Linked DNA regions of Arabidopsis thaliana. The protein of the gene in region 1 interacts with the protein of each later gene in a pairwise test. Each region holds a gene or a part of one and is shown in the gene's direction. Other genes may lie near its edges. The genes, in order: UVR8 and RUP1.

What was found.
Region 2: the proteins of UVR8 (region 1) and RUP1 interact in a two-hybrid assay, tested with the Arabidopsis thaliana proteins (3 studies listed by BioGRID, with this or other methods).

What each region holds. Positions count from the first base shown.
Region 1 is NC_003076.8:25,553,624-25,561,126, reverse strand, and holds UVR8 (Regulator of chromosome condensation (RCC1) family protein), read left to right. Parts: upstream 1-1,627; 5' UTR 1,628-1,711; intron 1,712-2,142; 5' UTR 2,143-2,539; coding exon 2,540-2,633; intron 2,634-2,820; coding exon 2,821-3,007; intron 3,008-3,198; coding exon 3,199-3,345; intron 3,346-3,557; coding exon 3,558-3,639; intron 3,640-4,030; coding exon 4,031-4,186; intron 4,187-4,593; coding exon 4,594-4,767; intron 4,768-4,972; coding exon 4,973-5,044; intron 5,045-5,284; coding exon 5,285-5,356; intron 5,357-5,489; coding exon 5,490-5,608; intron 5,609-5,791; coding exon 5,792-5,877; intron 5,878-5,968; coding exon 5,969-6,021; intron 6,022-6,225; coding exon 6,226-6,306; 3' UTR 6,307-6,711; downstream 6,712-7,503. UniProt on the Arabidopsis thaliana protein: UV-B specific signaling component that acts as a UV-B photoreceptor and plays a key role in establishing UV-protective responses in plants.
Region 2 is NC_003076.8:21,214,868-21,218,917, forward strand, and holds RUP1 (Transducin/WD40 repeat-like superfamily protein), read left to right. Parts: upstream 1-1,904; 5' UTR 1,905-2,030; coding exon 2,031-3,188; 3' UTR 3,189-3,484; downstream 3,485-4,050. UniProt on the Arabidopsis thaliana protein: Functions in association with RUP2 as repressor of UV-B-induced photomorphogenesis mediated by UVR8 and HY5, likely in coordination with DHU1.

The sequences.
Region 1 (7,503 bases):
TTATTTAAACCTAAATCTTGTAAGATTTTGCTCTGTTTTGTCAGGTTAGCCTAAATCTTGAGAGGTCAAACTTGCAGTAACTTTCATTGTATAGAATTGCTTTTAACTGAATGATAAATCGAGTAGTAGATTAGTCCAATGGAAGTTTGTGGATCAAGTTATGTGTCTGTCGGCATTATAGTTTTCCTTTGAAATATTGACACATTACTAGAATCTTATCCAACAAAAAATTGTGTGGTTATGAAAATCCTAAGTAACGAGACAGCTTATTAAATGCCGAATTTGGTAGCAATTTGTTCAGATGAATGTATGTCTTCTTGTAAAAGACAGTATGAAGTGGAGGTTGATGCTAACTATCTTATGGTTCCTTATTGCACTTTGAAGCATTTATTGCAATTGTTTTCGGTTTTTTCTCTTGAGTGGGCTAAACTAATAATGGTCTGTTCTTTCTCTAAAGAGAGAAGAATTCGACAGGAGCGTGAAGCATCTTCATTCGCAAATATAACACATTAAAGCTACCTCTAGCATCATCTGTGTGATTCTCTCCAAGGTCATTCGTTGTCTGTCACGGGGCATCTCAAGTAATAAAGCTTAAAGTTAACTGTCTTTTCAGCCAAATAGTTTCATCATCTAAATATTCACATGATCTTCCATATTTCATCACCGATTATGGTTACAACATTTTTGCAAACCCTAAAATTTGTGTTATCGCCAAACTTGACCCTTATACCGGAACCCATGTGGGTGGGTGTTGATTTTTACTGTTTTGTAATTTGTTCATCGACAATCATTGACATGTACTCACCGCAATGTTTTTTCTTTCCTAGTTTCATGTGCATATATGTCTCTAAACAGTAATTGTTTAGCACTTCATGTCAAGCTTAAATTATTATAGGTGTCTTATCTTGTCTCTCTAGTATTTTCTGTTGAAGTCATGTGCATTAAATTGTATATAGTACTTCCAATGGCTTTCATATAATTTCCATTTTTCCACAAATTGTTCGTAATGATGTTTATTTAACAAGATTATAAAAGATAATGCAACAAATTTGTGTGATGAATGATGAGATGAACCCATTTGAAAGAGGTCGCAACAAATGTCAACATTAGAGACCATCTTGATCTAGAGTTTTGTCTCGTTGACTTTAATGCCAAAATTGGACAATACATATAATGCATGTATCAGGCAATGCAAAAATATCTTCATTCATTTAATTTTCTTACTATAATAGATGTCACAACTTCCCTCACTGACAAGCATATAATGTTGGTTTTATCTCAATGTAAACAACCTTTTAGTTTCACATAAATGTTAGGTCGAGCGAGGTGATATATTCGTTCCAGATCGGATGAAACAAGTAATTCATCGATGTTACCTTTATCCATATGTATATGTAAGATTATGGGTTTTAGGTAATCTAGTAAGTACTACTAAGTAGTATCCGTATGTAATTTTTTATTTATTTTTATCCGTTATGTATAATTTCTTTGGCCGTTTTCGCAAAATCTATATTTGGATGTTTTAGATCGTGAATTGATATATCTTAATTTGAATATTTAGGTATTCATATATTTTGAATCTATAGTTGACCTGTTGACCATGTATTTTGATTTGAATATCTCGCTCGATCGATAGAAGATTTTTTTTTGTTTTTGTTTTGTTGATAGTAGAATCTTCAAGTTGTAATTTAACAAAAAAAAAAAAAATCAAGTTGTAAGTAGACCGTATATCTGTATATTTCCATATGTAGAACCATGCATTTTGAATAATTGAATAAAATAACATGTAGCAAGACGTATCTTCATATGATAATCAGAATCATAATAAAAAGACAAACTGTACACCATATTGTAATCCAGGTTTAATTTGACCTCTTTGAAAAACTAAAATAGCTGAACTGAATATTTATAACTAAAAAGACAAATTGGATATGTCACTTTGGACTATGAAACTCAGAATTTTTTTTGACTAACGTGTATACTTTCACACGTGTGCATGACTAAAAACATATGATTAGGCTCTTACGATCTATGCGCCTTACACCTGTGAATGATGAACACATAAAACACAAGTTACGATCTAGAATGTCATGTGTACTGGCTTAAATCTACTTATGTGAAGAGGTAAATGAAATGGTCAAGAAACAAAAAAAAAAAGAAATGGTGAAATTATGAAAGTATAAAACTTTACCGGTGAGGTCCGTATTTGGATTTATTAAGTGAAGAGGGACCCTTTTGCAATTAAAGCCTGTACGACAAAAAAGAGATTTACTGTACGGTTAAAACAAAAAATAAAAAAACCAGCAAAAGTAAAAAAGTCAAAAAGCAGATATATGACATGTGCAAATCTCCATCGCGCCTTTATTACCATCTACCGCTTTCTCTCTCTGTCTTTCCTTGTTCAACCCTCGAGAGATTACGGATAGTGAAAGAGAAGCTACAAAATTTCCCAATTTATCAAAAAATAGAAATTTCTTACTTTTTTCAAAATTCATTTCTCCCCAAAAAAAATATCTTGTGAAAACTGCAACTGTGATCCATGGCGGAGGATATGGCTGCCGACGAAGTTACGGCTCCTCCTCGTAAGGTTCTTATCATCTCCGCTGGTGCTAGCCACTCCGTCGCTCTTCTCTGTACGTCTCTCTTCTTCTTCGCTGTTTTTTTTCCTTTTCTATTACGGACTCAAATAATCACCGGAATTGTGAAATCCGCTGCTTTAGTAGGCTGTGCTCTTCGCGAATTCTCTTGATCTGGCCTTTAATCGAGTTTCCCTTACTTTCGTCGTCTACTAATGAGTAGTTTTATGTTTTGATTTTGTAGCTGGTGACATTGTTTGTTCTTGGGGTCGAGGAGAGGATGGACAGTTAGGTCATGGCGATGCAGAGGATCGACCTTCTCCGACTCAGCTTAGCGCTTTAGATGGCCACCAAATTGTTTCCGTTACCTGTGGTGCTGATCACACTGTTGCTTATTCACAATCAGGCATGGAAGTCTACAGTTGGGGATGGTTTGTTTCTCATCATTATCTTCTTCTTTGCTGCTGAATCAATTGCTCTTCAGTCTGTTTGATATATTCGGGATGAGATGATGACCACTAGTTCCTCTCTAGATTTTTGTGTAGAAAACAGTAACTAATTATACACTCATTTGCACATATTTTAAGCCTCGTGTTCTCTAACCTTTATGTGTACTTTGCAGGGGTGATTTTGGGAGATTAGGCCATGGTAACTCAAGCGACTTGTTTACTCCGCTACCAATCAAAGCATTGCACGGTATTCGGATCAAGCAGATTGCTTGTGGGGATAGTCATTGTTTGGCTGTCACTATGGAAGGAGAGGTCCAGAGGTATTTTCTCTTTGTTATTGTTCTTCTCCTTATGTGCAATCATTTACAGTTTACATCTCAGCTCAATTAGATGAATTTCATCGGAATTTGATAATGTCGATTGCGTCCTGTGTCATTTCTATATATCTTGGTTATTGTGTACATTGCCTTTTAAACGTTTTGTCTGTCTTGTCTTGTTTTCCAACATATCTCTTTGACTTCTGTTTATACAGTTGGGGCCGCAACCAGAATGGTCAACTTGGTCTGGGGGACACCGAAGATTCTCTAGTGCCTCAGAAGATTCAAGCCTTTGAGGTTTGTATCACTAAATATTCTTCTAACATCTTTTTTCGTTGTAGTTTCCTCAACTTGCCAAATACTATGCTTCAGAATTGGGTCAATGTTGGGTCTATTTCTGCAACTTGATCTTCTTAAACATATGACTGTTACTAGTTAAGGGTCCACATCTGGTGAAGATGTCTTCAGAATCATAATTTAAGTTACATAATTTTAGGAGTGGTAGATACTAAATTGGATGTCTATGTGTTATACTATCTGCAAAACACAGATAGAAGGTAGGATCTTATTGATAATTTATCGGACTAGGTAAACTAGAAGATTAAGTGATTAGAGACCCTGAGTTTATGTTGTTAGTTTCGCTGATCTCCATTGTTACATCAACACTTTAAACTTGTAATGGGTGCAGGGAATACGAATCAAAATGGTTGCTGCTGGTGCAGAACACACTGCTGCAGTTACAGAAGATGGTGACCTCTATGGATGGGGCTGGGGAAGATACGGAAATTTGGGATTAGGTGACCGGACTGACCGCTTAGTTCCTGAAAGAGTTACCTCTACTGGTGTAAGCTAGAAGACTCTTGTTCTATAATTTTTGTTTAAGCACCTGCTACTTGTTTAAACTTGCATTTGAAGTTCAGTATACGTGAAAGAAATCGTGAATAGCTCAATATGCACTGCACTATTCTGGATTAGCTGTCTATATTGATGGAGTCACACGTATATGCAGTCTAATTTCAGTTGGTGGGTGTCAGGGAAGTGACCATAAAACTTTTAGAATGATCAAAGTTTGGTATCCTGAATCTGCACAGTTCATGAAATGAAATTTAGTTCATATAACATTGATATCACGCAACCTCACCTTTTTACCAACTTCTATTTCTGCATTTTAGTCCCTCAATTTTTTCCTTAATTCTCTTTTCATTTCGACTCACTTGACTCTCGTTTTCCTGGTTGTAACTACAATTTTAGGGTGAGAAAATGTCAATGGTTGCTTGTGGATGGCGGCACACAATATCAGTTTCCTACTCTGGAGCATTGTATACTTATGGATGGAGCAAATATGGACAGCTAGGACATGGAGACTTGGAGGATCACCTTATTCCTCACAAACTGGAAGCACTGAGCAACAGTTTTATCTCCCAGGTTTCACTTAGGCCTTATAAATCTGTCTTGAAATACAAATTTGTACATCTGAAATATCCAACATATGGGATAGCAATAATATGTTTTTCGAAAACTTTCTGACAACTATTACCTACTGAAGAAGACTGGCTTCATTGTATGTACTTCTGTTGGTTTTCTTCTTCTGTTCGACATCTTTTGGACTTACTGTTCGTTTCTTTTCCAGATTTCGGGAGGTTGGAGACATACAATGGCATTGACTTCAGATGGAAAACTATATGGATGGGGTTGGAATAAGGTCTAGAATGTCTTGCTTTTTTTTTTTTTTTTTCTGGCCTATATTTCGTAGAAATGTATAGAACACCTATTTTCATCTACACATTCACTGATATTTGCATTTAGTTGCTTTATGCTGTTAAGGAGTGATATGCATTCACTTAGATGTTATTTTAAGAAAACAACAATGCATATATTGGGTAACTTTAGTAACTCATCTTGAATAAAACAAACTTCTAATTGTCTCTCTTTTAGCCTGCAGTTTGGACAAGTAGGAGTCGGCAATAATTTAGATCAGTGTTCTCCTGTGCAAGTGCGATTTCCCGATGATCAGGCATGTTATCCCTAAAAAAGTTTAACGAGAAAGCTCGTCCCAATGTTTTACCGGCTATATAATCATATTAATAAGTTCATGTCTCAATTCGCTGTTTTCTTTTCCAATGCACACATATTGTGGAATTTCACAGAAAGTAGTTCAAGTCTCATGTGGATGGAGACATACCTTGGCTGTCACTGAAAGAAATAACGTGTTTGCTTGGGGTAGAGGTACAAATGGACAGCTCGGCATTGGAGAGTCGGTTGACAGGTAAAAGTGTGATCATCTAATCGCTCATGAATCAATGTTTTCCACTTAACATATCTTGGTGTTACGAACAGAATATGAAAATTGGCCAGTAAGATCGTTGTTTCCACCAAAATCATTGCTTTTCAATCCCACTCACTACCTATCTTGATAATGTGAAATGGATATTTGGTTTGGTGTTTATAGGAACTTTCCCAAGATTATAGAGGCACTCAGCGTCGATGGAGCAAGTGGACAACATATAGAATCTTCTAATATCGATCCATCTTCAGGTATTTAAACAATACCACTAGTTAAAACGATTTCTGTAAACGACTCAACAAGTGATTAAATGATTCAACTTTTGCATTGCTTTGTTACCAGGGAAAAGCTGGGTGTCGCCTGCAGAGAGATATGCAGTTGTTCCTGATGAAACGGTAAGCCTTAATTTTGTTAATTCTACTAAACTTTATATCCAATACGTAAACTACAATGAAAGCAAATGGCACAATTATATCGGCTTAGAACCAGATTTTACTGATTAATCATTGCTGCACAATTATACCTTGCTCTGTCAAGATCGTGGATTGTTTTCAAGGATGAAATCTATGTGTGTGATTTTGAATTTGGTTGTGTGTTAGGGCCTAACGGATGGTTCAAGCAAAGGTAATGGAGGTGATATCAGTGTTCCACAAACTGATGTCAAGCGTGTACGAATTTGAGCCTGAGTCAATTCCGTTTTTTTTTTACTTCCGGTTCTTCCGTTGGATTCGAAGGTTTTTCAGTGATCTCTTTTGGGTTGAGGTTTGTACTAAGAGTACGTCTGTCTAGTTTGGGATTGTACTTTTTGTTGTTGTTGTTAGTTTGTAACTTGTGATGCTTCCCTCCCCCTAGCTCTCTTATTACATGGGCGTTGTAAACTGTGTGTACTACTACTACTAGTCTCTAGGGTATGTACTTTTTTTTTCCTCACCATAATAATACCTTCTGGTTCTATATCTTTCATTTCTTAAAAAGTTTTCTGTTTTTTCCTTCAACCATTATACAACTTATGTTTTAAGAGAATTTTCTTTTTGTCTTATTTTTTTACCGCCTATGTTTGAATTCAAATATGATATGATTGATAGTGACCCGCTGAGTTTTAGAGTATTTGAATTTTGGAAAAAAAAACAATTTTATCAATCAAGATCAAAACTTAAGAAGAACAGTGATCACAGATTAACAAGTTGAACTTCTCCTTTTTTATCAAAGTGTGAAGCGCAGATGAGAACGAGAGTAGTATGGGTATTTTAGTTTACAACTTTTGGGTAGGTTAGCCTTTAGGCCCAACACACAATGCATGTTTCGTATTTCTATATATTCTAGTCTCAATACGAAGAGTCTAGAATACGAAGAATTTCTAATGGACTAAGTGATGGATATGTCAAAAAGAAAAAAAATTGATCCTTCATCATCCGCCAACCTAGTTATGCTGCCTAATATATTTGGCGTTTAGTGAAAATTTTCTATTGGGTAAAACTTATGTGGGTGATTCTCTTTAAAGCAAAACCATCCATATTGCTCTTTTAGTGTTTCTCTTTATGTGTCGGGTTTCTTTCCCTTAAATTATTCCAAATCGATGTCACTTAGATTCGATTCCATGTTATTACCTTTTTCAGTTCCAAGTCGCCATCTTTCAAACTTTCTAATGATTCTTGATGTTTCATCCACGAGTCTTTCATTCCCACCACTTTCTTGCTTTTTTAATTTCGGGTAAATATTACTCCATATATCATTTCGCCAATCTTCTTATATTCACATACACTTATTCATACATTACGATTATCTCATGGCATTACTCCGGCAATGGACTATACCTTATGTTCAAGTTGTTTTTTCTTAAAAAACCTTTTTTCATAAATCTATGTTAATCTATAATT
Region 2 (4,050 bases), 4.3 Mb from region 1:
GTTTTTAAGTTGGTCACTAAATCCATATCAATTGGGAAATAGAGTATTCAATTGTGATCCTCGATGTTTAAGAATTGGGGCAAAGAAGACAGTTGACCACGTTCTTCTGAGTGTTCCTTGCATTGCAGATATGTGCGCTCGATCTCCTCAGCACTATGGAAATTTCGGTGTCGTCGGTATTTGCAAATTTGGATATTCTTTTCTTGGAACAACCTGGCTCTTCAAAAGATTTAACCTTTCCATGGATTATTTGATACATTGGAAGGCACGTAATGATAAGGTTTTTAATGATACATTTGAGAAACTGCACAGCTGCAAGAACATAAGACAAGTACCTTTGAACAACGGTCTTTATTACAAAAACTGGAGTTTGAAGTCACAAATTAATGTTTTATAAAATAGTTCATTTTTTTTGGTAAACATGTGAAGATTTTATAGATAGTTGATGGAAGGAGACTCGATATGTTTTCAAATATAGGTTGGATCGGTTTTCATAACGACATAGAAGGATCTCTTTTTAGAGTTAGGAATCTATGCATAAGCCTTTCTCCTATGATCAAGCATCAAAGTACATCGGTAACTATCTCAATGGACTGTTCAAAGCTAAAAGAAAATTGACAACTTCCTGAACATTTTAGCCAATTTTCTCAACATATTTGGAATGGTTTGCAAGACTCAAATATTTGCTCTCTTCTGGCTTTCTGTTATTCTTGTAATTAGAATTGTCTTGCTAACTTGTTAGCTAGCATGTTGTTCACCACTACATTTTCATTATTTTAAGTATGTAAGACCTATAGTTCTATATACACCATCGATTTGGATTACCGAACCATTTTGATATATGTGTATGTATTTCAGTCGACAAAAAAAAAAAACTTCTAAGATCAGTTTAAACTGAATTTTGGTTATCGCCTTCTCTGCGATCATGGATTGGGTTGGACCTAGACATATGGGCTTAAGATACGTTTTACAAGCTGTCATGATGAATACAATTATTGTCTTAAGTGTCACGAGATATTGAAATCGTCAAAATAAGCCAAACATGCACCAAGATATCAACGCACATGTAGTTATTATATAGCAATAGTATTCTAAACGTAATGAACCGTCGATGTATCGACGTGTACTTTTTGCATTCACTTTCTTTTGTCTTCAAAAATAAAATGAAAATCAGAAATAAAGAGGTGTAATATTATCCACGTAGGAGTTGAGATCTACGACGACCAAACTAATCGTTAGGAAAGGTTTCAAAATTTGAGGTTCTTATCCAACCAACGCTAACGTAATGCTAATCTCGTGTTTCCATTTCTTCTTCCTTTAATGCGATGTCTCTCTGCACCCAATAATTAAAAAAAAAGTTTCTTTACATTTTTTCTTCTAAGAGAATTTTTTTGGCAAGTTGGTGACATGGTGTACTTCCCATACTTATCCATATCCCATTGCTCTAACTTTTTGTTGCTAAAAGCTAACTTAAGGAGTGATGAAGATTATAACTCATAATCAATCTAAAAGATAGACTCTTAACCATTTCTAATCACCACAATGTTCAAAGATCATATTTGGAGCTAGTGGTTATTTAGCCATGTGCATGGTCTTATTTTGATAGATTACCTTTTTGGATTGTTTGAACAAAAACATAAATACATGTAGCTAATTTCGATATATTAATTACTTTTCTAGTTGGAACCATTCGGAGAACAGCAAGTACCAATAACGTGAATGCATTTCCATTTAATATCACACAAAAGAAAAGTTCCATGTATCATGAATTTAGCAAATTCCATTTATAAATATTTGGCTTAACTAAAATTATATACATGGTTTCTTCTACATCTAGTAAAAAAAAAAGATAGATAAACCATGATACCTATGTATATGTATTTATATTAAATTTAAATATACCCCACATTTTTTGTTTTCGTCAACAAACAAACCACTTTATAGCTTATATATACACATCACACACACATATGAATGTGATGTTAATATAGTTTCGTGTGGACCTAACTAAAACTAGTCGTAACTCATTCATGGAGGCTTTGTTCTGCTCTGAGATACCCAACAACAACATCAGATCTTCCATTAACGATCTATCTTCTTCTTCTTCATATACATGGCCAATGATCATGACCTCCTCTTCTTCTTCTTCTTCATCTCCCACAATCATGAACATAGAGAACATTCCTAGATGCGACTGGGATCTCTCTCTTTCCGCCGTTGTTTCCTCCGCATCCACCGGATCAGACGCTATCGGAGCAATCGAGTTCGACCCTACCGGAGAGATCATAGCTACGGGAGGAATCGCAAGAAAGATCAGATCGTATCGTTTAAGCTCTTTGTTAGAGTCACGTGACGATCACGTAACAGCTTCAGAGAGCTATATTTGCACGCCGGCGAAGCTTAGTAGTCTCAAATGGAGACCCGATTTTTCCGGTCGGGTTATCGGGTCAGGAGATTACGACGGAGTTGTCACCGAGTACGACGTGGAGAAACAAGTGCCTGTTTCCGAGAGAGACGAGCATGGAGGTAGAAGGATTTGGAGCGTGGACTACACGCTTTACAATGGCTCTCTTATAGGCGCGTCAGGCTCCGACGACGGAACGGTTCAAATGTGGGATCCACGTAACGGAGGGACGTTAGAAGAAACGGTTAGGCCCGGTGGTGGAGCGGCGATTTGTTCGGTAGAGTTCGATCCGTTCGGTGGATCTTCCATAGCCGTTGGATGTGCTGACCGGAATGCCTACGTGTATGACATCAGAAGACTAGTGGACCCTTTGATCGTATTAGACGGCCATACCAAAACGGTGACGTATGCTCGATTCATGGATTCTCACACGATCGTTACCGGTTCGACCGACGGGAGCTTGAAGCAATGGGATATAGATAATGGACGGCGCGTGGTTCGCACGTACCGAGGGCATGTGAATAGCCGGAACTTTGTTGGGTTGTCGGTTTGGAGACATGGTGGTTTGGTCGTGTCCGGGTCAGAGAATAACCAAGTGTTTGTGTACGATAAGAGGTGGGAGGAACCGGTTTGGGTTTGTGGATTGGGTCATACGAACCGGTTTGGATCTGACCGACGGTTTGTTAGTAGTGTGTGTTTGAGACAAGTGGATGAAGATTGGTGCACACTTGTGGCCGGAGGATCCGATGGGGCTTTAGAAATTTTCTCGGGCAAACAAAGCTAATCAGTATTTATATTATTTTTTTCTGCTCATGATTAATACAAACTGTTTTTCAGTTGATTTTATACTGTCTATAGTTATTAATTTTAATATGATTGAATGTTACTACAATTCTTAAGAAGAAATTGTAAGTGATATTGAGAACTTTTTCAATCATTGCAATTCGAATACACATTTTGTAGGGAATTGAAAATTAATTCTAATAGTGTTTTAATTAGCGCTAGAAAATAAATAAATAAAATGTATCAAGGAGAGTGTATATATTGACTTGTAAAATGACAAGGAGAAGTCAAATGTCCACTTGAATGAGAAATTCTATTTCTATATATCTTTTTAGTTTATGGACCTTTTTTTTTTTTTACATAGCTAAGCTAGAGCTTTAGACGACTAAATTGATTTTGAGTCTAAAAGATATGATATGTTTTGTAATCAATTGACCATTTAATCATGTCATGTTCTTTAGTTTTGTAAAAAGAGAAGAAAAACTTGTCAGACAATACTTATACATATACATTCATGTAGGTTAAGAGGGTTGTTTAAAATTATGTAACTATAGTGGTTTGATGCAAAATAAAATCTGGCCCAAACGGCATAGTGGCCAACAAAACTTTGCCACATGACATGACTCCAGTAGCCCAGAAACTGGGCTGATCCAATCAGAGGTTGTCTTTATAGCCCATCTTTAGATGAGTTTTACATCTCTTGTCAACAAATGTTACGACCAACAAAGTCTTTTTCTTCAGGCAAATATAAAAAGAAATAACGTGGTTCAGAGATTAATTATTTTAGAAAAACGTAAGAGTCAGGACATATATTTGGAAGTTCAACATGAAAAGCCAGCAAAACCCATTTGGGTCACGACATA